4 linked regions of the Coturnix japonica genome follow. The protein of the gene in region 3 interacts with the protein of the main gene of each other region in a biochemical or structural test. Links are inferred from orthologs where the notes say so. Each region holds a gene or a part of one and is shown on either strand. Other genes may lie near its edges.

Region 1 (7,057 bases), on a different chromosome or scaffold from region 3:
GGCGGAATGGGTACCCCTCGTGTACCTGGGTACCTCCTCATAGGGGTTAAAGGCTGCAGGGCAGCGTGGGGTTGAGCCCTGTTGGGGGGGGGGGGGTCCCAATGGACCCTCCTCACCATAGTACAGACAATGGGACAACACAAAGTGAGCCCCCAGGGGTGGGGGTGGGCAGGTCGTTCCCCCCTCACTGGGAGCATTGGCTGTGAGTTCTATGGGGATGGCTGTAGATGGGGGGCACCCACAGGACCCCCCTCCCCCTCACCTGGCCCATTGCTCCTGGTCCCGTTCATCACCAGACTCCACTGCTGTGGTGTAGTCGGTCTCATACTGGGATTCATCCAGCTCAGGGTTACGGCGACGGCGGCGGCCACGGCGGGCAGAGGGTCTGCTGGGCTGATCCTTCCCCTTCTCCTCCTCCTCTGCCTGCACAGGGCTGGTACTGAGGGCACGGTCTGGCTGGTCACTATAGGGACACAGGGACATCAGCATGGCCATATGGCAACCCCTAACCCTAAGACCCCCAGCCACTCACCCCCGGCTGCTGTAGGTGCCTGAGGTGTAATACCCAGCGCTGGGGGGGGGCACGTAGCTGTATGGGGGGGCAGCAACGGGGCTGGTGGGCTTCTCTGAGTAGGCAAGAGTGGCCGTCTCGTCCTGCACACTGGCCCCATCAGCCACATTCTTCACCTGCAATAAGAACAAGAGCTCACAGGGGGACACGGACACCAAGGGGTGGGGGCACCGTCCCCATAGGGATGGAGAAACCCCCCCTGCATTAGGGGTGGGAGATCACAGACCCACAGGAACCCCCATGCTACACTGCACAGAGCTCTGTGGGGGTCCCAGCCCACAGCTCAGGGGACCCCACAGCCCTTCCCACAGCCCCAGGTGTCAGCCTCCGGTTTGGGGCTCCTGGGAAGGATGTCCTCTCCTGTCCCCCCCCCCTTTTTCCTTCCTGCCCTTTGTGGCTGTTTGTGCCGGATGCTGACCCAGCTGGGGGCCGGACGGTGGCTTTGGGGACGTCAGCTCCAGCTCCGGCCAGCAGAGCCCCTTCCTCTGCCTCTTCCTCCATCATTAAGTGATCTCCCCCCCCCCCCCCAACAACTGGTCCTCCACCAGTGCAGGGACAGCCGGGTCCCTATGTCAGACTGCAGCTCACACCCACACAAAGGTCACTGCTTCGCCCCAACCACATGCATAGAGTGAGACATCCTCAAGGTTGGGGGGGGGGGGGCATTAAAATTACTCCCTGCCTGCATGTATGGCAGCACCACCCCATACTGCTGCCATGGGGCACTGGTAGAGATGGATACACTGCTATGGACTATGTTGGGTGTGGGGTCTGTGCCCCAACCCTCCCAAGGAGCAGGAAATGCCGGGCTGGGGAGGGACGTGGAATGAAAATAAATAAACCCGAACAAAGATGTTTGTGCAGAAGGAAAAGCAAACAGTGGGCACACAGACACGGAGGGGTGCAGAACCTGCAGACCCCTGGCACATCACACCCATCCCTATGGGGCTGGGAATGGGCAGGTGGGACCTAGACATGGCTGTGTGTGTGTCAGCACATAGAGTTAATCATTGACGAGACCGAAACCCAGCAGTGCCTGCAGCCGGTGCAGAGCGGACAGAAGGGACGGGCTCAGCACTGCTGGCCCCCGGCCCATCTGATCCAACCCTGTTTGCCTTTAGGGCCAGAGAAGGGAAATAAAAGGGCTGCTTGGGGAAGGAGTTCAGCCCCACGGCTCCTGGTACAGCACTGTTTGTAGCAGGAGGAGCTCCTGATATGGGGCACAGCCACGTTCCCAGCTCCCAACCTGCTCAGGGTAGGAGGAGGATGCTCCCATTGCCCCCCTATACTCACCCACTCCTCCACATCGGGCCCCTCCTGCACTACGGGTGCACGGTCCCAATAGATGTTGGCTTTGCCATAGCGCCAGATCTTGCTGCGTGTCTTCTGGGCGAAGAAGCAGATGAGGCAGAGCAGGATGGCAATGAGGAACCCACAGACAGCAGCCACAGCCTGGAGGGGAAGCAGGGAGGGGGGGGCTGAAGGGGTCTGCACTCACCCAGCCCCCGTGTGGGGCTGAATGGGGCAGCTCTCCCCCCATAGACACCCATAGGTTAGACAGGCAGTCCACAACACAGAGCCACCATGGGGTTTGTAGGGCTGAAGGCTGGGTTTTATCATGGGAGCAGACGGAGGGGACACCCCAACACTGCACCTCCATTGGGGTCAGCTGAGCATGGAGCTCTATGGGGCACTGAGCACAGCACCATGTTGTGTCCCCCCCCCCTCCTCCACGGTGCAGCAGTGTTATGCTCAAGGTGCAGGAATGCAGCACATCCAGCCCGGCTGCCACAAACCAGCAGCACCGGTCCCACCCCAGCACTGTACAGGAACCCTACAACGGCCCCAGCCGAAACCGGGGCCGTGCAGAACCTGCTGCCTTCTGCCCCACTGACCCCAACCAGCACAGCACAGCACAGTCCGGCTTCCCCTCCCTGCTCAAGTCCTTTTACAAGCCTGGAGACCAAAGTACCCGGGAGCAGCTCAGTGTTGGGGCACAGCCTGTCCCCTCCCCGAAACTCCTGTGCTTTGATGGCCACACGGTGCCATCCCCCTCCCCTCCACCCAATGCAGCAGCACCACAAATGGGGGGGGGCATTAAGAATGGGGACACCACATCCCCATCAGGACACACTGACCCCAAATTGCTCCCCCTACGACCTCATTCTGCCTTTAAATCATTATGGGGGGGGGACACCGCATCCTCATCTCCATCAGGACACTCTGACCCCAAATTGCTCCCACTACAACCTTAAAGGGCTGACTTTAAATCATTATTGGGGGGGGGGTTCACACTCACCTCCTGCGGATCCACAGTGCAGTAGTGGTAGATATACTGGTTGAGGTAGGTGCCACCATAAGCCTGGCTGCACATGGCCAACAAGGGGCTGTAGTAATAACCACTGGACATCTGTGCCTGCGGGTTGACCCCCATGATGTAGACGATGGATGCGATGAGCATGACGAAGGCCAGCACAGCGCTCAGCACCAGCACAGCCAGGTAGAATCGCCGTGAGCGTGTGGCCCCTGATTTACTGAGAGCAGCCACCAACAGCCCCAACTGGGCCAGGAAGCACAGCACGGCCATAGCGATCATAAAGCCATTCGCCGTGCGTTGGTTCACCCCTCCATAGTAGCTCCCGTAGCCGTAGCTGTAGCCCAACGAGCTGCCGTAGTAGCCGGTACCGTAGAACCCCCCCAAGCCGGTGCCATAAGCCCCCCCCAGGCCGTAGCCATAGTCCCAAGCGAGCGTGGATGCTACACAGGCAAAGATGGCAACGCAGAGCAGCAGGACCCCCCCCTGCAGCCCCCGCACCACGCCGGGGGGCGACGTCCACTTATAGAAGTGCTGCGGAGCGTCGTCTACGTAGTAAGAGCCCGGAGGGGGCGAACCGTAGCCGTAATCAGCGCCGGGGGGGCCGTACATGGTGGGGGGAGAGTCGTAGGATTTCTTGCTGAACATGGTGAACCTGCGGGGGGGAAGGACGGAGCGCTGACACCGCCGGTTCTCCCCGTCCCCGTTGAGTTCAATGGGGGACTTTGATCGCCGTCGGTCGGTCGGTCGGTCCGTCCGTGTGTCCGACGCGTCACAGCGACTCGTAGGGAAACTGAGGCACGTTTTGGGGCGGGGAGAGACGGTGAGTCAGCGCTGGGTGCTCAGCCCTGCCCGCCCGACCCGCCGCGTCATGGGGTCGTCTCATTAACAAGCACAAAAGCGATTAACCGAGGGCAGCGCTCACCCCCGAGGGCCCCTCCGGCAGCAGAGCTGCTGGGATTAACAAGCAATGGGTGGGGGGGGGGGGTTCACTGCCGGTTCTTCCCCTACCCCGGACCCCCCCTCCGCACTCAGGATCGCCCTTTGCTTTTGCTTTGCTCTGAGTTCACAGGTGTTTGCAGCAACAGCGCAGGAAGGTTGGGGGGGGGGGGGGGGAGCAACGCCATGAGGGGCAACGGGGGGAGACGGGACGGCTCTGCAGCCTAAAGCTTCCCCCCCCCACGATGTACAAAGGCACAACCCCACAGACACAGCACAACCCCAAGCATTGACCCTCCCCCCCGGCAGGTGCAATATGAGAAACCCGAACCCCGCGGGGTAACCCGAGCGGAAGGCAGGCGGGGAGTTGGGGGGGGGTCGCGATGTCCCAACCCCCCCCTCCCCGTCCCCAACGCAGGTCCCGGAGAGGGGAAGGATGGGGAGGGGGGGGGCTCTGTGTGTCCCCCCACCCGACAGCCCCGAGACGTGGAGCCCCTCCCGGTGCAGCCCCCCCCCCCAACCCGGTCCTCGCAGCGCTCCGGTACCGGCGGATACAGACGGAGACCCTCGGAAGGACCCACAAAGCACCACCCCCGCCGCTACCGGGACCCGCACTCCCCCACCCCGGTTCCGGTATCGGTTCCGGAGTCCCGTACCACCGCACAACCCGTCACCTGCACGCACCTCCGCCGCTTTGTTCACCTTAAAATGGCAGCCGGGAGCGCTGCGGGACGGGACCGGTCCCGGTTTCCGCCTCCGGGGGGAGCCCCGAGGGCGGCCCCGCTGCCGTTGTCCGCCCCCATTGCGGGGAGGGGGAGCGGGGGCTGCGGGCGGGGGTCCCCGTAGTGCAAGGCTGAGTGGGTGACATCGGAGCATCCCCGGGGCTCTGGGTGCCCCCCACCCGCTGCGGGTCCCCCGAGATGCATCGAATCCCCCCGGAAACATCATGGGATTTTATTATAAAGTGCCCCAATCCCTCTTTGGCTGCACCTGCTTTGTGCTGGGGGGGGGGTGCAGAGCCACTAGAGACCCCCAGATTTGCTCCCTTTGCCACAGTGGTTGCAATACAGCAGGCAGTGGGTGCCCATAGTGCTGTCACCCCCAGTACTGAGCCCCACAGTGTCCACAGGGCTTTTTTTTCTGGGGGGGGGGTCTCCATCCATCGTGCCCCGCTCAGAAGAGGACGGTGCTGCTGCGGTCACTGTTGCGGTCATACTCCTGGATCTGTGCCTTAATATGTGTCAGCTTCTCCTTCAGGTAGAGGCAGCGCTGCTGCTTTGCCACGAAGGCCAAATCCTGGCAATGGGACACGCTGAGCACCGAGACCCCCCCCACGCAGCCCACACCCCTCACCCTCCTCACCCTCTTCTCCCCCAGGAGCTCACAGCAAACACAGACCCCCCCCTTTTTCACCCTACAGAGCAGAAAGGCACAGCCCCCCCCATCCCCACCCACCCACCCCCTGTGCCCCCCATCTCATCGCACACCCACCTTGCCCACAGCATCATCATCCTCCCCCCACCGCTCCGCCTTCAGTCGGCCCCGCAGCTCCCGATACTCGGCGTGTTGATCGACGAACACCGCCCCGTATTGCTGCCGCTGCCGGGAGCTCCGGATCGCCGGGTACCGCCTGCAGGAGAACCACCACCAGCTCAACCCACGGGACCCCCCATGGACCCCCCCCCCCCTTCACACCGAGGATGGTCACTTACATCATGTAATCAGGCTGGGGGGGCACCGAGCCTGAACACTTGCTCTCTTTGCTGGTGGTGACTCCAGCCCCCCATAGGGGTCTCCCTGCCACCCCCACCTCATCCTCGAAGATTACACGTTTGGCTCGGACCAGCGGAGGCTTCAGGATGGAAACTGGGGGGCTCAAAGCCCCCGTGGGCTGCAGGTTGTCCATAGGGCTACAAGGAATCGCTGCAGCCCCCTGGTACCAAACCTTGAGAGCCACGGCACTGCCGGCCAGGTAGAGCAGAGCAGTGAGGAAGAGGAAGAGGAGAGCGGCCGCCTGAGCCCCATCCACACGGCAGAGCTCGGTGAGGAGGGGGCTGCCAGGCAGCGGGGAGGAGCAGAGCCCCCCCAGGGTGACAGTGTGAACGTGGGCCCCCGCCGCAGCCAGGCAGAGCAGGAAGAGCAGCACATAGAGCCCTGCTTCGGTGGGGGGCCACCAGGTGACCCCCAAGAGGATGTGATGGTAGCGGGTGGTGACCCCCAGCAGGAGGGCAGTGAGCAGCCAGGCCAGGCCGAGCACTGCCAGCACAAAGGGGGTCAGCGGGACCCCCAGCCCCCCCCCAGGGAGCAGCTCAGTGCTGTAAGCGCTGTAACCCCATGGGATGGCAGCACACACACAGATAAAGGCCGCCCCCCCGCACAGCAGCTGCAGCCCCCCCAGCACCCACAGCAGTCCCAGCCACGACTTCAAGTGCTGCCCGACAGCATCATCCCGTGGTCCCTTCTTATTGCTGGGGGGGGTGAGCTCAGCCATCATCTCCTTTGGTGATGGGATCCCCCGGCGGTGGCCGTGCTGCTGGAGGGGGGCACCAGGATCCCCCCCCCAAGTCCTAATGCCTCAGTTTCCCCTGCAGGGTGCACTCAGCCCTGCTGCAGCTCCGTCCTTGTCCTGTTGATACTCAGGACCCCCACCCAGCCCTGCCTCCCTCTGCCCCCCCACGTTACCTGCCTGCTGCATGGCAGGATGTGGGCCCCCCCCCCCATCCAGGAGTGCTGCAGCCGCTACCTGCCTCCGATTGGCACCATGGGTTAAACATTAACAGCTTTGTGCTGCCCTACAGCGGGCGTGGGGGGCACAGTGAGGGCTGTGGGGTGTGGGCTGGAGGCAGGAGCAGCCCCCACCCACCCCACTGTATTCAGCTGCACCTCAACACCTAAGACCCCCCCCACCCAACCCCTTAAGGGCCCCAATCCCATCCCCACCCCGGCACCAGTCCCACTGCCACAAGCACAGAGTGACATGTCCAGTTCAGCCTCCTTTAATGTGTGCCTCAGCCCCCACCTCCCCCCCTGGCCCTCCCCATACCGAGGGTCCGGCTCAAGGGGGGGGGCACAGCCCCCTGGGGGTCCCACATAGGGCCCCATGGAGCAGCTTTGCCCCCACACTGCACAGGGGCTGCTTGGGTATTGCATCCAGGAATCTCACAGCACTTGACAATGGTCGGTATCGTCACCCCTACCCACCCATTTTACAGATGGGGGAAACTGAGGCACAG
Region 2 (7,022 bases), on a different chromosome or scaffold from region 3:
CAGACCAAGGATGAGCAGATGCTACATGGCTCTGCACTGTGTGGCTTCTCTGTAGCTGTCCTTGTTGGGCTGTAACATTGCCACTAAGCCCATATCCCCAGCTGTGTGGACCCTGAGATTCTTCTACACTTGTCTTTTATTTTCAGTCTTGCCACTGACAAGAGTCACTGACAAGAGTTCAGCTTCTTCTGCAGGATCTTCCACTCAATGCTGCTTTATACCTTACCATCTTTTCTTCCTTGCTGCTTTCATCTCCTGCCCTCTCCCATTCTCTCGATTCCCCTGTTACCACCTCTGGCCCCTGCAGTCCTGTTTCCATACCCCTCGCTTTTGCTTCAATGCTGACTTCTCAAAAACAACAAAACCAAAATGCTCCTATCAAAACCCACAAAGATCAAACACGCGCTTTGAAGCAGGCATGAATGTATGCATAGAGCAACTAGTTTACTTTCAGCAATCTTGTCACAGAAACAGAAAATCCAATTCCAGCTACAGCACATCACTTGGACCCCCTGTCAGCTGTGACTAGCAGGCAGCACAGGTACACCAGGTGCCATGTAAACAAGATCCTTGCTTGGCACGCAGACCCACCCCAGGTTACAGCAGGGAGAGGGCAGCTGCTGCTGTGACTACACCCACACAGGTATCCTTATGCAGCAGTAGGCAGCGATTGCCTCGTGCACACCTCTGACTAATGCAGGTACTCTGCCAGCAGTGCGCAATCTCCAGCCACAGCCTGTGACGTGCTACACCCTGAATTTCCCTAACAGGCAAGATCCAAAGCGTTTGTTTGTTTTGTGCTGAGCAATTCTGCTGCTGCACCTTCTCCTCCCTGCCTGCTTCTCCTCCTGGTTTGCGTTTGCTTTTTCGCTGGTGAAAAGAGTTGAAAACAAAAGAAAACACGAGAAGAAAATGGAATTACAAAACCATAAACACCGTTAAAAGGGAAATTCAGGGGCAAGCAGAAAACTTCTGACTCATTGCAGAAAATGGATTGGGTTTCAACTGCTGGCACAGCCTGATGCTGTCTCAGTGACATGTGCTGGATGGGAAGTGCCAGCTATAGTTCCTGGGTGCCTGTCCAAACAACGCCCCACGTTTCAGTCTTGCTGACAGAGCCTGCCACCGTGTTCTGAGAGAGCTGTTAATTAAGAGGCAAAGTCCAATCCCAACCTGGCTGGCTCTATTTTTACATGATTTTGTTGTTGTTTGCTGCGTCTTTCCACTTGATTCACAACCCTTCAGAGCTGCCAGCTGATTGCTTGCGTTTTTGCTTTGCTTTTCAGCAGCGTGGCACAGAACGTGTGATTCCCCACCATTCCAGCCCTTCTACCCTCGGGTTTCTACTTTTAAAAGAGGTGGTTGTTTGTTGGTTTTGTTTTTTAATCTGACATTTTGTCCTGAAAGGATGTGAGACGTGCAAAAGCAGTGAATGTGGAAGCCACCACAGGAGGCCAAGACACGGTATTAAAAGGAGCAATGAAAGAAAGCAAGCTATTGAAGTGTAAACTCAATTTTACTGTGAGTACGCCGCAGATCAGAAATGAGTAGTTTGGATTCCTGGTGCAACCGACACCAAAATATTAATGGCTTGGTACAAACAGAGAGCGTAGAAATCTGTTTTCTCTGTGTTTTCTAGAGGAGAGCCCATTTGTTAAGACACCAAACTTCCAGCTTCATCCTAATAAATAGCATCTCTATAATAACAGAGAATTGCTTTCTTTCGATTAACTTTGCTCACAGGGTCGGACTCTCGATCCCTGTTTTCTTCCTGGTCTGACAAACAATGGTGTTGTTTTTACTTCCCTGCCTTGGATCCCTTTCTTGGGTTAAATCCGCAGGAAGGAAAAATGCAATCTGAATCGCTGCAGGACACCGCCTGCCTTCCTGCAGCAGCGGCTGGTAGGAGCACGGCCTAGATAGGAAGTGCAGCCCTGATAATGCATGGGACCAGGGAAAAATCAGTGTCGAGAGCCATGGTGTGAAGCACAGTGTGCTCTGCATGACATGGGCTGGGGGCTGGCACCCCAGGAATCTACATGGGCTGAATTGCCTTGCTCCAATGTATGCTCTGCTCCCTGAGGGCTGCCCAGCTCTGTGTTTTGATTGGTATCAAAGGACAGAGCAAATAGGTTCAGGTAACTCGGAAATGCTGGCAAATGAGTCATGAAATGTATTACAGTTATTCATTTGTTTTTACAATCCAGTACGAGCGTAAGTTCTGTAGAGATATTTGAATTAAAAGTCATGTCAAAACAAACTATGAAAAATACCAGTGATTTGATGCAGGGAAAACGTGGTCACTGGCTGTCTTCAAAGCCTCTGAAATACATTACTCCTTGGAGACATCTCTCCCCATCCACAAATCTACATTCATTGACTAACACTCAGCTCCTAAAAGCTCCCTAAGAGCAGGAGCTGCCACTGACCGCACCAAGCAGCACAAGGATGCTGCTTCAGACTTCTGTGTGTTGAGATGAGACACCAAAAGACCAACTAAACTCCGTAACGTCCCAGTCAGGAGCCACAGCACCAACATGGGACATGACAGCAGCTTCACACTGTGACTTTGGGGCCTGCAAGGCTCTTCTAACAGCACTTACAGACTGTCTGTCCAGCCTGGAGCACAGCAGGCTCTGGGGTGACCCTCTGGCTCTGTACAGCTGCCTGTAGGAGCACTCAGTGTTGTGGCAAGTGACAAAACGCAGGGTGAACGCAGCACATTGCACGAGGGGATGTTTAATTTGGGTATAATCACAGAATCACAGAATTGTAGGGGTTGGAATCTCTAGAGATCATCCAGTCCAACCCCCCTGCCAAAGCAGGCTCCCTACACCAATAATAATCATAATTTCTTCATACAAAGGATGGTAAAACACTGGAGCTGGCGATGAGGCCCCGTCCCACAGGCACTGAGAGTGTGGATGTGGCCCTTGGGGGCTGCAATAGTGCTGGTGGGGGGTGGGCTGGGGGGTCCCTAAAGTCTTTCCCAAGCGCAGACATGCTGTGATCTCACTCTGGCCGGTAACTGGACAATTTTTGCTTGTGACTGGAATTGTTGGTTCTGCCCCAAGCACGAGGTGTGTGGGGCGATGTGAGGGTGCTGCAGCCGGGCCTGAAGGGGTGCAGGGCCGAGTGGAGGCGGTGGGACCCCCATGTCGGGCTGACCCCCATGGCGGGCCCTCACCTGCCCGCGGGGCGGCGCGGCGGGCGGTGACGGGAACAGCGGCCGGGCGGGGCGGGAGCGGCGGCGGGAGGCGCCCGGAAGAGCCCATTTCCTGCTCGGGACGGAGCGGGTGCGGCCCAGACAAAGCGGCCGGGGGTCGGTGCGGGTCCGGCGGCGCAGCGCGGCTCCTCGTCCCTGCTCCGGTAACTATCGCACTAGCGCCGCTTTAACGGCGCCTTGGAAACTTTTGGCGGCGGGACGGGCCGGGCTCGGCTGCATTGGGCCCCGCGGGGCGGTCGGAGCTGAGGCCGCGGGCGGGGAGCGGGGCCTGTGGGGCTCCGAGTGGGGCGGGGGCAGCGCGGCCTGGGCCGGGTTCCGGGAGCGGGGCTCGGCCGTGGGGCTGTGGGGTCGTGGGGCTGTGGGGCCGCGCTGTGTGTGTCGGTGTGCCCCGTTTCGGGTGATCCCGGATCAGGGCGGGCGGGGCCCGGCAAAGTCCGGGCAAGTTTCGGTGGCGGCGCGGAGTTCGCTGAGACTTTTCCCCGAGGGCTCGGGCTGCCCGCATGGCTCCTCGGTTCGGCTCCTCGGTTCGGCTCCTCGGTTCTGCCCTGGGCTGTTCCGACGCTTCGGGAGCGGCCTGGCTCTAAGCGCGGTTCTCTCCGTCCGCCCCAGCTGGGAGCGGCGTTGGGCGCTGCCCCCGCTCGTCCTTGGCCGGCCACGACTTGTGTCCCATCGCTCCTATTTAAAGCGTGGGGTGAGAGTGTCAGACCCCAGCTGCTGGCTCACACCAGCCCTCCCGGGGTCACCAGGCGCTCTGCTTTCACACACTGAGCTCAGCATAACGCGTGTGAAGCATCCCGGTGTGGGCACAGCGAGGTGTGTGTGTCTCTTGCTGGGAGCTGGCTGCGGTCTGCCCCCATGTTACCCCCCCACACCCCGTAGAGCTTCCAGACCCCTCTCTTGTTCCCCCTTTATTCCCTGCTTCTGTCTGCCCGTCCTCACCCAGAGGGCGATGTCTGTGTCTGACTGAGCTGCCAGTCGATAACCCCCATGCCCTGCAATAACTCACACTCCCTGTTTGCATTAGGAGTGCCCGTGTCCTCGTTCCAGCACCCAACGTGACCACCCATGGCATGGCTGAGGTGACTGGATTCAATTGCTCTTTCCCCTCACCCCCCACTTCCTTTTCAATCTTCCCCCTCCCTCCCGTCCCCCCTTTTATTTTCCTGGGACAGGGGCTGAATAACCAGAGTTGTTCCTGATGCTGGAGTTGCTTCCTGTGTTATTCCTGCGTGGTGAGCAGGGAAGAGGAGGAGGTGGGGAGGCTCTGCTGGTTGCATGGATCCCAGTGCACATCCCCAGCCCGGCTCTGGTGAGGCTTCACACACTGCCCAGCTCAGTGGGGCCTGTCAGCCCTTGGGCTGGGCTGTGGGGTGGTCATTTTGTGTTTCAATGGTGTGAAAGCCAGTTTGCTTCACAGAACTCGTGGTCTTTGGGTACGGTTTGGACCATCTTTGGGTGCTGTGTGTTTGCTAACACTTGTTTTTCCTTCCTGTAGTGAAATATTTTCTTTGGAAAGGGCATCATTTCATGTTGAGTCATTAACTGATTTTTTTATTCAGAGAAACAGTTTTCAATGGAAATATCTTAGTTCCTCTTCTGAAAAGTCAATGATTTAGTTCTTGGTTGTTTTTTTTTTTGAAGGCTTTGCCCTAACCTTTTCCATAATAAACAACAAGCTTTCAGCCTTTAGCTTTTTCCAGCCAGCTCTAATAATAGAGCAGTGGAGATTAAAAGTTTACCCAGGGTGGCGGGGGGAAGCACAGCGGGTGGAGATTAGAAATCCCGCACCCAAAACGGTGACTTAAAATATTGTAGCGAGTATTTATGTCTCCATAAATTCTCCAGCTTCGTGTAACATCAGCATTTCCAGTGTCTGACATGTGTAATGGCAAATACCAATATACAGCTGCTTCACAGGGTGTCCGTGGGTCTGATAAAGTTAACTGAGAGATGTAATAGAAAAACAATTTGTGTGTTTTCAGCAGCATGAATATCTTCCTCCCGCAGCTGTGAGATGGAGAAACTGATCTTGCAAAAGAATCCACATAAGTAGAAGTGTTTATGAGCTGGAAATAGACTTCAGTAGAATGTCAGACCTTCATTGAAGTTGCATCTACTGTTAGTTCTTAATTTCTAAGGTTATTTTCTTATGAAGAGAGTTTGTTAAGTTCATGGAAGTATTTAATGGCATGGCCAGTCGACTCATCATGGATGCTTAGTAAGGTTGGTATTGAGTGAGGAAGTACAAGGCCATGGTCCTCCCTGAAAGGACTCGGTGTATTGCATCTGGGTTGGTTTTACTGGCACCTCTTGGCTTTGGACATCAGAGGAAACGTGGTGAATAAAAGAGGACTGAATATTATGTTAGCACAATACCATATTGAGATGAGGTCATGTAACACAAAGCTGAATGCCCGTTGTTGTTCCCTGCTGAAGTGCCTTAACTGGAAATCACTCGAAGTCTTACATTGTAGAACATCGGTGTGTATAACCTTGAGGATTTGGGTTCTTTATTACTTCTGGGAATCCACCCTACCTTGGCTTTATAGCTAATCAGGAGTAGCACTGTATGTAGCTCATGCATTGGTCAAACTGAGTTACAGCTTTCCAGGAAGTGCAGATGTTTGACAGTTACTACTTGTATTTTCATATGGCTTTAATCCAACGTGTGAGGCTGGAAAGAAAAACTGCAGCAGCACCTTTGTTGGAGGAACCCAACTGGCAGCGACCTGTGGGGCCATAAGGCAGCAGTGGCTGGCAGAGCGCGATGCAGTGATGTGCCTCATTGAGTTACAGGAGGAATGCAGTTACTGCAACTGTGAGTTGGGTCCTTCTCTTGAGTAACTGAGATTCTTCATCTTCTATTCAGGGTTAGAATGGGTGTTGACTGTTTTCATGTGTGTAATGGGTTACTATAGATTCTCCTATTAGCAAATCTGATACTTGAATGTGATTCATGATTCCGCCTTGTTTAAGGAACCAGCTACCTTTTATCTGGCATGATTACATCTTTTTGTTAGTCAATCCCAGCTGTACAACATAAAACATCTGCTGGCCCTTTCATGGGTGTTTATAAACAGCTCTGGTAGAGTAAGAGAGGAGTAACCTTTTTTTCCACACTTTATGAAGCAATGGAAATTCAGTGTGCCAACCTATACTACCAGTTTGCAAGTGGAAATTCTCTGCAGTCTCTTGACATTCCCTTACTTAGAATTCTAGCTTATAAGGCAGCTACCTGAATCATTGTATCATCCACGTATCTCTTGAAAGGCTTTCTTTGAATTCAGTCATCTAGGAATGGAGAAGGCAAGCTTGAGGTCATACAGCTAAGGGGGGTAGTTTACCAAGACAGAGAGTGCAACAGTAGCGAGAACACAAACCAAACTGGATGCCAAACAGTTCCCTAGCACATCTGTGTCTTTATAATCTTAAGAGTGAATTGAAGTCCTTAATGTTTCCAAGGGATGAGCAAACAAACTAGAGCCAGCAGTGGTGTGCCAGGTAGGATTTCAGTGCTCACAGTGAGATACAGCTCTCAGTGTGTGCTTCTTTCCAAGCAGATCTCAGTTCTCAAAGCTGTCTGTGCTGTTGCAGATCAGAGCTGTGACTCACCACATGCTGCAGAAGGTTTCCTGGTCAGCGTGGGGCTGATGGCAGGGAGTGGATGTAAGCTGGGGTAGGAGATGCTGTGAGCATGTTGGTGCACTTTGGTCTGGAGTGGCTTTGAGTAGTTATTTTGGGACAAGGAGCCTGAAATTACAGGGCTTGAGAGAGCTGATGAGGGCTCAAGGAAATA
Region 3 (7,291 bases):
TACATTTTCTGTGTTTCTCTTTCATAACTAGGTGGAAAAAGAGAGTTTGTGCCTTGGTGAAGAGCAATTGAGAGTTACTCCAAGTGGTTATTATTTCCAAAACATTTTCTATCACTTCTCTTACTTAATATGAGCCATTCACTGTTGTAGGGTGGCTGTTTTCATATCATGTCTTGGGTTGGAGGGGACCTTAAAGATCATTAATTCCAATCCCTTGCTGTGGGCAGGACTGCCCCCCTACCAGCTCAGGCTGCCCAGGGCACCATCCAGCTTGGCCATGAACACCTCCAGGGATGGGTCAACATGGCTTCTCTGAACAACTGCTCTATTGGCTTTATTATACATGGATAAATAGTTTTTCTCATCTTTCTAGATTCTGGTCATAGATCTTCCTTACCATATGCAGATACTTAATGAGAATAACTAAGTTGGAGCCTTCTTACTTCAAAGTGGCCTGAATGGCAATCCTTACTACATGGGGAGAAACCTGGTGAAAGTGCCATTCCTTTACAGACTTTGTGGTAATTTGTTTACTGTGGTAACTACAAACATTTGGTAGGCTCTGGTTACCCTGTTTATGTTACATGCTTCTTTTTGTAATCATCTTTTATAATCTAAAGCCTTTGAGGCCATGTATGCTGCGAACATATCAAATTAGCTATGATACCTCTCCACCTTGTGTGCTCTTATCACACACTGTTCCCAGAATGTTGTGAAGTTTTGAAGTTGCTCTGAGGAATTTTCTGGAGGCTCACTTTCTTTCTCCTCTAACACCACTATTTTTTTTTAGGACAGATCATCTTGGTTAGTTTTTAGTTTATTTGTCCCTGCAGGAGTCACAGACTCTTCGCTGTCTGAACAGAGAACCAAGGTGTGGTTTTCAAAATAAAGTGCTGGTTACATAATTAAATGCAGGTACCATGGATGTGCTTGGCCAATGTTTGGCTTTTTTTTTTTTTTTTTTTTTTTTTTTTGAAAAGGATTAAAAATAGCTTTCCATCTTACATAGTAGAGTTAAAATGAAGGATTCTTATCCTACAGAACTTGTTTTCCCCCAAAATGAAATGCAAATGCAAGAGTCTGCAGCTTTCTCTTAACTCACTGGTCTCTTGACTGCTGCTGTCGTGACTATACAAGAAAAACTGCATACACTTGTGGTGATATTTCTGGACTGCTACGTTTTTATTTATTCCCATTATTTTTTTAAGTGTTGCTAGAGATAATCCACCTGCTTTCTCTTTTTCTTTTAGAGGAGAGAACAGACCAAATCCAAGGAAGAAGAGTTGTCATAAATACTTCAACTTATGATGAATGTTTTCCCATTTTTTTTTTACCACATTTTCCCTGACTGGAAATGGGAATGTTTGTTTCATGTTACCTTTTTAATTGTCAGGGCAGTGAAGAGAACAGGAGAGCAAGGACAGGGATAGAGGCATCTCCAGTACATCTTTATATTTGTTCCTTCTTATTACCACTTTTCTTTAAATAAATAGATGAAAATGTGATTTTAGAAGTTGTGAGTGTGTCTGTTCTGCAGAATGATTATTTTCCTTTAGAGACATTAGTGAAGATTATCCACTGTTTTGACCAGGTTCCAGTGCCAGGTCCTCCAACCATACAGGTGCTCTGGCAGCCCAGCGAGGGCTGCTGAACTGCGCAAACCTGCATGTGATCCAGTTCTGCTGGCTACTGCAAGAAATTGCCAGAGATTGGCAGGATGATAGTTGAAACATAGGGTGTTGAATTCAGTCTTGTGAGGGAAAATCCTTAAACTCCAGGTTTCTCAATTGAATGTTGTTTACCTTCAACAGTTAGAACTATCCATCTTGGGAAGAAATGCAACTTGTGGATGGGCTTTTTCACTTAGCATTGCATACTGACCTGTGTATTGCTATGTGTTCCTGTCTGTTTCACATTTTAAACAGCCTGTGAGACTTGCATGAAGTCTGGGGGAAAACTCTGGTCGAATTTTAAGCTCACATCATTTGTATGGGTTAGATGGAAGTGATAGCTTGACATATTTTCCAGTAAGGTCATCTTTCAGGCTATATGATCAGCTTATTACCAAAATTTTACTTCCTGTGCAATCAAACATCTAACCACTACTCATGGTTATGAGCAAGTTGTTTCTCTTTTTCTTGCTTGCTAGAGTCATATCCCCAGGATATTTTTAAATGTAACTCCTGGAAGTGTTTAAATGTAATTATACATGTGCAGGTGAAGGAATTACTCGCATGCTTACAATTACTTCTGCCTAAGGACTTCCTGGGTCCAGTAGTTAAATTGTTGAGACTTGATAGAGGCTGTTAAACACAGTTTAAAATGTGCAAAATAACGGAGCCAAGTGGTAAATCTTACTATAAAGTGTTATATGTCTGTCAGAGTGTAAATTTCAAGTAAGCATCCTTGTGCTTCTCTGTGCCTTTTTCTTTGAAGTTGCTAGTGCCCTGTTTCTTTAAAGTTTCAGATATGTTCGTGATGGGAGGGAACCAAAATGTGCTTGTAAAAAGAGTAACTTGCTGTGTTTTGATCTGTTTCTGACACTTAAAATAACAACTATTCCTATTATTTTTAAAATCAAGGATGTAGTCTTTTTTTTTTTTCTTTTTTGTTTTCCCTGGGGCCTCTTACAGCGAGAGTTACTGAAACTCTGAGTAGATTTCCCTGCTGTGGTTTTGATGCATTTCTGTGTGAAACGGACGGCAGGATTTGTTCTAGTATGTAGGCCACTATTGTATTAGAATTACATAACCGTGTGGAGTGGTAGAAACAGATGAAAAGACCAGGATGCACGGCGTCCCCGAACAGATCATATCCCGTGACAATGAAGACAGCGCAAGCTCTGCAGAGAATGTGGTCACATGCGGTCAAAAAGTTGAGGATTTTAAGGGGGCACGTGAGTTGCTTTTTGTTGCATCTTGCTCTGGGTCTTTCCTCCCTCCCCTGTGTGGCTTGTGTCTCCTTCCCCCCTCCAGCTCACTTTCACAGCCCAATAACTGTGGTGGCAGGTCTTCTGGAGGTGGTTTTCTGAAAGAAGCTGCCTGAGGCTATCTCTCAGTTGCAAGTAATTGCATAAATCGCGGATGACTGTCAGTGGGAGTTGCTGCTTGTAGCGCACAGATGATTTTAGTACTTTGAATTGTTTCCTGACACGGATTCTGTTAAGCGGTCTGCGTTGGCCATGTAGAAAGTGCCTGCCGTTTTGGTGTTCAGAATTAGGCAGATTTAAGCAAATCCTGACTGCGCTGCTCTCATTAGGAATGGACTGACTTTAGTCACTAGTGAATTCAGACTAGCTAATGACAGTTACTTGTACTTCCTGCAGCAATCCTGCAGCAATGCTGCTGTCTGTGTAAAACCTTGAAAAGCAGTTACTAACAGTAACTGTTGCTGTAACAGTAACACTGCTGTTTCCCCTGTCTTTCTTTCTCCTGTGTTTCTGTGTGTGATCTTGCATTGAAATGGCAATTGTACAAGGGACATCCAGGCTGTTCAGATCCTTTCTTGTTTCCCTAGAGACAAAGAGCGAAGAAATTGGCTGGGGTGATGGGAGTTTTTTGTAACCCATCACTTGATGCAGACAGAGGACAGTCATGTCATTGGGCATGGAATACAGGAATTTTGTTATTCTCGTGGAGACTTTTAATCATAGTTTTATAAGTCCGTGGCTGGTGATTTTTAGCATTTGTAGTCTTTTCCTCCCATTTAGTCTCCCCCAGTAAACTGTCCTTGTTGGTTAGTATCGTGGCAATAGCATACAGCGGTATTTTTTTATAATGTTAAAGGGATTATTGCTGAGAGATTTGAGGGAGTACAGATGTGTTTTTTGCCTTGCAGGCTTCCAAGGTGACCATTCAGTTCTCTGAACTGTGTTGCAGATCCTGAATGGCTTTATCAGTATGGCAGAGCTGGTCCTGCTGTCGTGGTAATTATGTTGCACAAAATCAGCTTTGCAAGTACATAATGTACTTTCCTTCACTAATATGGTATACAGCAACTGGGAGTCAGTTTCCCAAGGACCAGTTTCTGAAAGCGTATTAATTACAAATTTAAAAGTGAATTATTTAAGTGTCTTTTATTTAATAGTTACTAACAGTTCCAGACTAAAAAGCCCCTGGCCTTCCCCTCCTCCACATTTACACAGAACGTGTGTGAAGATCGTAACAGATATTTTAAGGAATATTTTCTGGGCACAGATGAGATGATGCTGTTGTCTTGACATCCTACAGGATCATAACTGTAGTATCTGTAGGCAGTAGTTTCTTTTCCTTTCCTATTGTTTGTTTTTGTGACCAGATATCACAAGACTTGTTTGTCAGAGCAAATAAACTTACCTGTGTTGGGTTTCTACACTTACGTTTGCTACGTGATGCGTCTCTTATCTCATGTGCAAGGTTTTACTCCACAATTCACTAGAGCCATCGTTTTGGTGAAGGAAATTCCTGTAAGCTCAGTTTTTTCCTCCCCACAGATCCTCTCTTAGTCTCTTTACTCTCCTTAGTCTCTTTTCTGCAGCATTGCATTGAACAAGGAGTCATTTCTCAGATGATCCTTTTTGCAGATAGAATATCAGAAGGCTTGATGTTAGGGTTGCTGGAAGAGCAGGGTGTGCGTGCTGCCTTCCGGCCCATAAGGGCAGTCTGCCTGCCTTACTTTTGTAAGTAAGCCAGCCTCAGCAGTGTGTTGGGCTGGTAAGTAGGATTGGTAAGGACTGCAGGCAGTGTAAATTGAATTTAAATAATGTTCTTGCCACATACATAAGTTATTTGGGCTTGTATGCAGTAAGAGAGAGAAAAGATTTTCCATCTACCTGTCCACAAAATCTGAACCCAGCTGCTTGTCCTTTAAATGTTACCAATCATCCTCTTATTTCTAAAATTCTCTTCATTGAAGCCGACTGTAATATAAATGACACAGAGGCCTTTCTTTAGTAGAGACCACAGAGCTTGAAGATACCATATAGAAAAGTAGGATAGAAATGATATAAATTAGTGTCAGTAGTAGCTAAACTATCAGTTTTCATACATGCCAGACAAGCAACCCAAGTAATTTCGTTTCTCACAGCAGCTCAGAATAAAACATGCAGATAAGGAGATTTTTTTCTTTTTTTAGTCTACAGGAGATCTCTGTGTAAGGGAATTTGCGTAGTGAGATGGTTGACTGTCAGCTTGCTGAAAGGTTAGGCATGTAAATTGCTAAAGTGGGAATATCAGAGAAAATAATTTCACCATATGCTTCATCAGACACAGTAACTCTCTGACAATAGACATGGACATTTTAATAGGAAGTTAGAAATGCTGATCATTCTAGACAGGTTTATGAGTACTTACGTTAATTTCAATTTAAGTCATTCTCTGAACAGATCTGCTAAATGTGTTTTCAGTTTGACTCAGAGAGTCCTAGAAACTGGGTAGCATTGTCCATTTTGGAGGAGAAAAGTATTGGTGCACATTTAATGTTGTTTGGTGTTGTGAACTTCCTGATAAGAATGCTGAGTGTCGTGCATCTTCCTGCAGGAACTCTGAGCAGAATTTAAGATTTGTTCCATTTTGTGGTGTTTGAAACTTCCACTGGAAGAATACATTATGGGGTTCTCTGCATTTGAGAAGCAGCATCCATGGCTTGCCAAGTAGCTATTGACTGCCTGAATACATTTGCTCTGGAAAAATGAGGGATGCTTTACAGCACAGGCATATCCATCATGTGTTACATTTCATCCATTTTTTAGAGGAGCGCAGTCACCAGTAATCCTTTTAAAGCCGTTCAGGGGACAATTAAGTCAAAACTGAGCTTCTAATAAGACTTCTGCTTCCCCAGGAAACTCATATCTTACCAAGAAAAATGTCTACTTTCAGCAGTAAAAACAAACCTGTGACTTCAGCATGCATGCACATTCTTGTGAAGAACCTGGATTTTTCTTTTGCAAATGAATGCTCTTGTTTTGAATTGGAAAGTTTTCAGTGTCGAATGCTGTTGTTCATTTTTTTCCTCCTCATTTCAAGGCCAGGCAGTGAAGGAGCTAGCTGTATGATGCACCACTACTGAGTGGCTATGTTGTGTTTTATTTTAAGTTGTGCTGTTGCAAAGATTTCAGGTTATATCACGACCCATTCAGGATCAGTTTATAGTGGAAATGTGGAGAGGGAGAAAAAAGGAAATATAAACATCTTAGAAGTGTCATAGAAATGTGTATACCCGTGCTATACAGAGATACACTGCTTTTCTGTAACATAAAATTTTAGCTGGGGAATCTAAATATTCAGTTGTATAGCTCAGTGGATTTAGAATTTGGTCAAATTCATGTGAACAAGAAGAAAGATCTGAAGGCTTACTGGTTTATAAGATCTCAGTTCCAACTTCTGATGTTGTGATGTGCTAGACTGGAGAGATACTCAGTTTGTGTTCTTTGAATCAGGGTTATATCGTGGTAGTGTGATTTGAATTAATTGCTTGTACTAAATGAAGCTTTTCCAGAAAACTGGAATGAACAGTTGAATCAGTGAAATTTGAAGGAATTCTATCAACCTGAACCCTTCAGATACTTTTTCCATTTTTAAGTAAACCATCATTAAGTGAAATGCACGTGTCTTGTACTAACTATACCAAATGCTTGTAATAAATGTATTATGTTTACATCTGTGTTTTAATGGGGTATTTCACAGTCTAGGTAGTTGTATGCTTTTGGTTTTACTGATTGGTTTCTGTGTGCAACAGGCCCCAGGCATGGAAGAGCTGATATGGGAACAGTACACTGTGACCTTACAAAAGGTGAGTGCCTGTTAATATTTTTTGCATTTCAGATATACTAGTACTGCTGATATCTAAATATATTTCACAATAAATGTTATTAGCATATCTGAGCCAAGAGCATGATTAATGTGTTGTACAAATTAGATATGTTTTCCATTTCAAAGCTTAATTGCGAGTTACTCATACTATAATGTGACTCTTAAATATTAAGAATAAATTAAATTAACTGTTTAAGTGCTGTTTACTTTTATTTAGCCTTTGCAACAGTGGTCTAATGTGCTACACAACAACCACATAGCAAAATTCATCACTGAATAACCTTAAAAACAAAGCAGATGGCTTTATCTTGCAGTTGTGATTAATGTTTAAGCTTTGTAAGTATCACTGAACACATTTCTACTGATCTGTTTGTATATACTTTCATGTCAAACAGCATAGAATTTAGTGGTAAAGAACTTCATCTAAATTTCTATAATGTGCAAGCTACAAGTGTTGCTTTAATTTTTAAGAAAAGCTGAAGTTATGTTGGTATATTACAAGA
Region 4 (7,272 bases), on a different chromosome or scaffold from region 3:
GGGGTTCTCAGGGAGGTCCGGCTCAGGGGGGGGGTCCGGGGGCCGCGGGCTGGCGGTCCCTGCAGGGTAGGAGCCGTCGCTCTTGATCTGCACCCCGAAGGAATCTCCGCCCTTATCGCCGCTGTTGAGGACGACGAAGGGCTGCCCCGCGATGCCCTGAACGCGCACGGCCACCCCGTAGGAGCCCGGCTTGGCACGCGCCTTTGGGGCCTTCTGGGGCTCCTGGAGGTCGTTGATGAAGCGGATCTGGACGCCGTAGTCCACCGGACTCTGCTTCTCCGCCGTGCGCTCCATGCTGGATGCGGTGCTGCTGTTCAGGGGAGAGGGCAGAGTCACAGCGGAACCCACATCCTGTGCCCCACGGCACTAGGGGGATGCAGCCCTGTATGGCTGACACAGCCCCATAGGACACATATGGTCCCTTAGCAGGAAGGCAGCTTCACAGGGACAGGCACAACCCCAAGGGGGCACACAGAGACACAGTGGGGACACTGCTCCACGGAGCTGATGTGGCCCCATATGGCAGATGTAGACCCATGGGGTTGATGCTGCCTTTAAGACAGGCAGCGCCACACACTGTGGATGTGATCCCACAGCGGGGACGCGACCCCATAGTGCTGGGGAGCCGGTGGCACTGCTCCCATGCACAGCACAGCTCCCAGTCTGTGCTGAAATCCCTTTCTCCGGATTGAGCCGACAGTGAAACACTCACATAAAGCACCAGTGGACCATCAGCCCCACACAGCACCGCCAGCCCCACTCAGCACCGCCAGCCCCACTCAGCACCGCCAGCCCCACTCAGCACCGCCAGCCCCACTCAGCACCGCCAGCCCCACTCAGCACCGACCCCACGGGGCCGGACCGACCCCACACCGCAGCGCAGCGCTGACACCCGGCACTCACCGACGTCCTCCTCTCGCCCTCCGCCTGCACCGACCCGCGGCCACCGCAGCGCCGGGAGCTCCAGCGGGGCTGATGCGGAGCGACAGCAGCGCCCCGGGCGGCCCCGGCCCCACAGCGCTGCGCTCCTCCACCCGCTGCCTCCGGTGCCGGCAGCTCCGATCGCTGCCCAAAATAACCGCACTGTGAGCGGCACCGCCAGCACCACGCGCTCAGCACACGGCCATGGGATGGTGGCACTGAGCCGGGGTCACCACGTCCCGCACGTAGGGACAAAGGAAGAACGGCACCAAAATATCACATTAAAAGCTCTCGGTCCCGATGTCACCCCAGTGCAGCCCCCACATCCCCCCCCCGTGCCCACCCCAAAGCTCTGGGCACGTTGCGGAGGACAAATGGCCACGGGGACCCCGCGGTGCTGGTGGTGCTGGTTTGCTGAGCCCAACACATGGCAGAGGGTCGGTGCCAAACTTGGTGCAGCAGGAACCGGCCCCGAGCAGATGGTGGAGGTGGCAGCACCTGGCACCCAGCGGGGCGGCCATGGGGACGTGGGCTGCTGCCATGAGCTCCTTGTCCCCACGTGGCATCACGACAACGAGGTCGGCACCAGACCCCAAATGTCCTCGTGGTCGTCCTGTGCTCACCTTATGGTCAAGCTATGGCCACCCCATTGCCACCCCACAGTCATGGTTTCCTTGTGAACACTGTGTCCCTACGGTCACCCCATGGCACCATTTCCCTGTGGCCACCTCATGGGTACCCCACAGTCACCGTGTCCCCATGGACACCCCATGGATACCCCACAGTCACCGTGTCCCCATGGCCACTCCATTGCCACCTTATGGGTACAGCAGTGAGGACGGATCCTTTTCCCCCATGGGCACACAGTGGGTCCAGCCCCACAGCTCGAGCCAGGAGCAGGTGAGCACTAATCCCTGGGAATGCCCCATCCTGGCTGGGCTCCAGCGCTCAGATAAAGGGGAACAGACCGCATTCCAACACGGGAACACGGAGCTGATCCCACACAGCACACAGCCCCCAGGAGGGGATCGCAGTGCGGATGAGGGTGATAAAAAGGGGGACCCTATTTGTTGTTCTAGGGGACACGTCGCCCACAGCGCACGGTGGCACCCGGCTCTGCCCGTGGGTCCCGCAGCCATGCGTGGCAGGCGGCCAGCTCCGCTCATGCAGATACGGAGCACAAAGGGCCCTTTGTGGGCACCGCAACCCACAGAGCTGTTGTGCAACGGGCAGCGCCGGGAGGGGAAGGACATCAGCACCGCACGTCCCGGCCCCAGGCATGGGAACGGGGACAGCGGGATCCCAGCACAGAAATATCGCCTTTTTCTGCCCGTTTTTCTGCGCTTCGGGCTCTTTGCTCCACCTGCAGCGCTGGTTGCTCAACAGGGACAAAGTCTGCACGGCTCCATGCCCTGCCTGCAACCCCGACCAACAGCAACGATCGCCGAAACCCGAAACCGGGAGCGCGTCACGGGGCCGCGTCCACCCCACGCCCCGGGGACGTCACCGCGCTCAGGTTAATCATCAACACGGCAACGATGGAACCGTCCCACTCCCTGCACCCAGCCCTGAAAACACAGCGGCTGCTGAGAGCCATCCCCGGGTGGATGGTTACCTGTCGGTCACAACACGGTGCTCCACGGCAAACCCCAACAGTCAACGCTATTGGCCAACCCAAGAGTCTACGTGCAGCCAACCCCAATGGCCGACCTCAGTGGTCAACTCAATGGACCACAAAAGCCCGACAACACTGACAGCCAACCCTCATGGCCAACCACAACAGTCCAACCCAACAGCCAACCCTCATGGCCAACCACAACAGTCCAACCCAACGGCCAACCCCAGCTGATGTCTATGGGATTGGGACTGGAAGGCACACTCTCTGTGGGATCACTGTGTTATCCAAGCTAGAAAAGGAGTATGGGATTGTATCTGTATGGGATTGCTGCTTACAGGATCAGGGTTGGAAGATGTGCTGTCTGTAGGAGTGTTATCTATGGGGTCTAAGCTGGAAATCACATTGTCCTATAGCAATGTTATCTGGGGGATCCTTATCTATGGGATCCAAACTGGAAGCCTTGCTCTCTATGGGATTGTTATCTATGGGATCAGGGCTAGAAGCAGTGCTTTCAATGGGATCGCTGTTTAAAGGATCAGGATCCTTATCTACGGAATCCAAGCTGCGAGCCCCGCTATCTACGGAATCGTTATCTATGGGATCCTTATCAATGGGATCCAAGTTACAAGCCACACTCCAAACCAGCTCGACTGGTCAGGGTGGCGGGGAGCAAACCCAGCCCAGAGCAATCCGTATGCTCCAAACAAAGGGTTGGAACAGCAGCACGGAGCACAGGGAAGGGTTATCCCGGGGACAGCTGACCCGGGCAGCCCTACCCATCACCGCAGGGATGGGGGTGGTGTCATTTAGGGTTCCATTGGCACCAAGAGCCCAGCAGCATTGGGGATTCCGGGGTGGATTGGGGCTGGCAGCATCACATCCCACCATGCACACGCATTTCTCTCCTACTGAAGCTGAGCGAAGTAGGGCAGCATTAAAGATGCAGGAGGTGCCACATTACGGCTGCCTGCAGCCGGGAAGGGTCGGCCCCAGTGATGCCCTGAGGTCCTGGAGCAACAGGTCTCTCCCTGCTGTGGGATGGGGCTCAGCCTTGGGCAGCTCCACAATGATTATCTGGGTCCTGACAAGGGCTGGAGGGAACGGACTCACAATCCCAGAGGTGCTTGGGGTGGGAGGAGCAGGGCTGGGACATGGCTCTTATCAGCAGAGATAAGGACGGAGACACAAAGGCCGTGTGGAATTTACGAGCAGAGCAGCCCTGAAAGGGACAGGAATGGGATCTGTGGGGCTCCGGGGCCCTACAGAGCAGTGCCTATGGGAACATCGCAGTGGGGCTTTGTGGGAGGGGGGCAGCATGGGCGCCCAGAGGGTCTGTAAGGAAATGCAGACCCCCCTATGGAAGGGGCAGAGCACCTATAGGGGCAGGGAGGGGCTACAGGGGACAGAGGATCAATGAGGGATCCTACAGATGAAGAAGGAAGACCCAAAGCAGGGAAGAATCCTTACTGGAGGGTATTCTATGGGATGTGCTATGGGTCACATCACAGCCCACAACAAGGACTTTCGGAGAGTTCTGTATGGCAGGGTACCTCCCAACAGAGCCAGACCCTATGGGATGTTTAAAGAGACCCTAAGGGGACTATATGGGACTATAGGGTCAAGCAACCCCTATGCAGAGTCAGCCCCAGTGGGACCTGCTGCAGGGCTCCAGCCCCATAAGCTCTACCACGGGGAAGGGCACAGCCCAGGAAGGGCAGCCCTGCAGCCCAGCCCTATAGACGGTGCCACAGGGCACAGCACACCCAGGAAGGACAACAGCAGCAGGCACAGCCCTATGGGCTCCGCCATGGGGCAGAACAACCTCCAAGGACAGCAGACCCTATGGACCCAGCCCTATATACTCTGCCATGGAGCAGGACGGGACCCTCATTGGGTTTTGCCGTGGGGCAGGACACGCTGCATGGACCCCAGCAACACTGTGCTCAGCCTCTGTACAGCCCATCACAGGGCAGGACACGTCCCAGGGACACCAGCCCCAATGACTCCGGCCCCTATGGGTTCTGAATGGGCTGCACAGAACCGACCCCTATAGCCTCAAACCCTATAGGCTCCAATTCGGGGCAGGACACACTCTAAGGACAGCAGCCCCTACACCCTCAGACCTTATATGCTGTACCATAGTGCAGGACAAGACCCGCAGACCCCGTTCCCTGATCCCCGGCCCCTCTGAGCCCCGCAATGGGGTCGGGACCCCCGACCCCCCACAGCCCCGCACTCACCGCTCCGCACCGCCCCGCGCACCTCCGCCGCCGCCCCAACCTGTTACCTCCGCAGGCCCCGCCCCCTGCGCTCCCATTGGTCCGCTCCGCTCAAGGCCCCGCCTTAAGGCGGAGTCGAGCCGCGCAAACCACGCCCCCCGGCCACGCCCCCTCCAGCTCTCTCGGCCCTGCCTCACTTCCGCCACTCCCAACATGGCGCCGTTCACTCTGCGCATCCCGCGCCGCCCTCAAGATGGCGCCACTCCTCCCCTCGCACTACGGTGGCCGGCGGAGGCCGCACTTCCCGGCGCGCGTGCGCAGCGCGGCCGCACTGTGACTAAGATGGAAGTCGGAGCAATGAACGCGCCGCCGCCGTTCTGGGCCGGGGGTCCGTCACCGGGAGCAGCGTACAGCCCCGGGGGGGTCGGCATCGGGACCGGGCTGCTGCCCCACAGCGCTACCCTGTGAGATATGGGGGGGGGGAATGGGGGGCACGGAGATGGACGGGCGGAGTCACGCGGCGTGTCTGGGGTGCCGGGGACCCGCGCCATCGGGGCGCGGGGGGGCTGTGGACACCAATGGTGTGGGTCGGGGGGGCACCCTGGATGGCGGGGCCACACGTGGGGGGGAGGGTAAGCGGCCCTCGGGCCTTGTAAAGCGTCGGATGGGGCGGCTGGGGGCTCGAGAGTTGGGGGGAAGGCTAAGACGGGGGCTCCGGCGACGCTGCAAGGAAGCTCTTGGGGGGGTAGGAAGTGCCCTGAGGCCTTGAGGTGGAAGCGAGGCTGGAGGGCGGACCTGCGGCGGCTCCCGAGCGCAGTTCGGCGCGGGGGGCGAGCAAAAGTGGTCCTGGCCTGAGGTGGACTCGCCGGGGCTCGAGAGAGCGGGGGCGGGCTTGGCGGCTCTCGAGGCATTTGGGTGGGGGGGGCTTGGAGGTTGGGCTGGGACAGCTTGCGAGAGTTCCGGGCGGGTAGGATTGCCTTGGGGCTGGAGGGCTGGATGGGGCTGGGGCCGGCTCCGAGGAGTTGGGGGGGTAGGAAGTCGCCTGGGGCTGGAGGGTGCGCATCGGGGCTGGAAGGGCGAGGCTCCGAGGAGTTGGGGGTTGCGGCTGGCAGTGCATGTCGTTCGGCCCCAGGAGCCCGCGACTGGCTGGACCGGCAGGTCGTGCTGCGGCTCGCCAAGGTATTGCATGCGCGGCTGTCTATCATCGCGGCGGACATGATGGGCTCCTACGGGTCCCTGGCGCGGTTCCGCAGCATCTCCCGGCTGCTGAAGGTGAACGACAGCACCGTGCTGGGCGCCTCCGGGGACTATGCTGACTTCCAGTACCTGACTCAGATCATCAACCAGATGGTGTAAGTCTTTTTGGTCCCAGGAGCCGCACAGCAGCACATCCAGGTTGGAGGGACTCACTGGGATCCTCCAGCTCCTTTAATTACTGGTGGCCTTTGGCTGCTTCTCTTGGTGTAAAGTCTGCGTTTCCAGGCAGCCCACAGATTTGGCATGAGGTTTTCAAGAGGAGGGTGGATGTGGTTTAGTGGTTATAGATGGTTGGACTCGGTGAGCTCAGAGATCTCCTCCAACCCCACTGATTCTGTGAGTGGTGATGGGTTGGGGTTGCGCTTGATGATCTTTGGGGTCTTTTCCAAACTTAATGAATCTACAGTCTTATTCTGCGATCCCTTGTCCTGCTCAGGTGGGTTGGGTGCTGGCCTGGTGGCTCCCAGCTCCTCTGAGTTGAATGATGTTTCTCTCTGCTTTAGAATTGATGAGGAACTGCTGGGAGATGGCCACAGTTACAGCCCCAAAGCCATTCACTCCTGGCTGACCAGAGTCATGTACAACCGGAGGTCCAAAATCAACCCACTGTGGAACACTGTTGTCATCGGAGGGTTCTACAATGGTGAGAGGTGAGAACACGGGAACATGGAACATTGGGGTTGACCCCATCAGCTCAATTCTGTTGGATGGGAACATCCTTTAGAGTTTCTCCAAACAGAGAAGGATGGGGGGGTCCCATGGCTATGAGCTGCGCTCTGGGTGCCCTCCCCTTGTGCAGCAGTGATGCTCACAGCTCTGTCCTTCAGCTTCCTTGGTTACGTGGACATGCTCGGCGTGGCCTATGAAGCCCCAACTCTCGCTACGGGGTATGGCGCATACTTGGCTCAGGTTAGTGCTCACAAATGGGAATGCGGAGCACATTGAAGCAACAAGCTCGGTGCAGGGTGACTGACTGTTGAGCTGTTGGGTGTTGATGACTTTTTATTCAGCCATTGATGAGAGAAGTCTTGGAGAAGAAGCCCAGCCTGACCAAGGAGGAAGCCCGCGACTTGATTGAGCGCTGCATGAAGATTTTGTACTACAGAGATGCTCGGTCCTTCAACAGAGTGAGTGCTGTTTGTGCTTCATCTCCCATCTCCTCCACGGTGACACCCAGAGCTGAAATCCCGTAGCTTTAGGAACCGTCCTACCACAGTGAGCCAACTCCGCTTATCCACCCAGGAAAAAGACAGACAT

What was found.
Region 1: the proteins of TJP2 (region 3) and OCLN form a complex in vitro, tested with the Homo sapiens proteins (3 studies listed by BioGRID). The link is inferred for Coturnix japonica from reciprocal best matches to the Homo sapiens genes TJP2 and OCLN.
Region 2: the proteins of TJP2 (region 3) and CTNNA1 form a complex in vitro, tested with the Homo sapiens proteins (2 studies listed by BioGRID and IntAct, with this or other methods). The link is inferred for Coturnix japonica from reciprocal best matches to the Homo sapiens genes TJP2 and CTNNA1.
Region 4: the proteins of TJP2 (region 3) and CGN form a complex in vitro, tested with the Homo sapiens proteins (2 studies listed by BioGRID and IntAct, with this or other methods). The link is inferred for Coturnix japonica from reciprocal best matches to the Homo sapiens genes TJP2 and CGN.

Annotation. Positions count from the first base shown.
Region 1 is NC_029543.1:2,404,262-2,411,318, reverse strand, and holds the start of OCLN (occludin), read right to left. Parts: upstream 4,603-7,057; 5' UTR 4,509-4,602; intron 3,679-4,508; 5' UTR 3,534-3,678; coding exon 2,871-3,533; intron 2,024-2,870; coding exon 1,865-2,023; intron 688-1,864; coding exon 533-687; intron 464-532; coding exon 263-463; intron 1-262. Other genes in the region: OCEL1 (occludin/ELL domain-containing protein 1), read right to left, coding at 4,998-5,120, 5,316-5,454, 5,537-6,318. UniProt on the Homo sapiens protein: May play a role in the formation and regulation of the tight junction (TJ) paracellular permeability barrier.
Region 2 is NC_029528.1:14,038,038-14,045,059, forward strand, and holds the start of CTNNA1 (catenin alpha-1), read left to right. Parts: upstream 1-3,234; 5' UTR 3,235-3,369; intron 3,370-4,514; exon of another isoform or gene 4,515-4,535; intron 4,536-7,022. UniProt on the Homo sapiens protein: Associates with the cytoplasmic domain of a variety of cadherins. The association of catenins to cadherins produces a complex which is linked to the actin filament network, and which seems to be of primary importance for cadherins cell-adhesion properties.
Region 3 is NC_029547.1:31,073,720-31,081,010, forward strand, and holds the start of TJP2 (tight junction protein ZO-2), read left to right. Parts: upstream 1-2,768; 5' UTR 2,769-2,773; coding exon 2,774-2,896; intron 2,897-6,714; coding exon 6,715-6,768; intron 6,769-7,291. UniProt on the Homo sapiens protein: Plays a role in tight junctions and adherens junctions. Acts as a positive regulator of RANKL-induced osteoclast differentiation, potentially via mediating downstream transcriptional activity.
Region 4 is NC_029540.1:2,377,771-2,385,042, reverse strand, and holds the start of CGN (cingulin), read right to left. Parts: upstream 4,858-7,272; 5' UTR 4,857-4,857; coding exon 4,780-4,856; intron 1,093-4,779; exon of another isoform or gene 904-1,092; intron 311-903; coding exon 1-310. UniProt on the Homo sapiens protein: Probably plays a role in the formation and regulation of the tight junction (TJ) paracellular permeability barrier.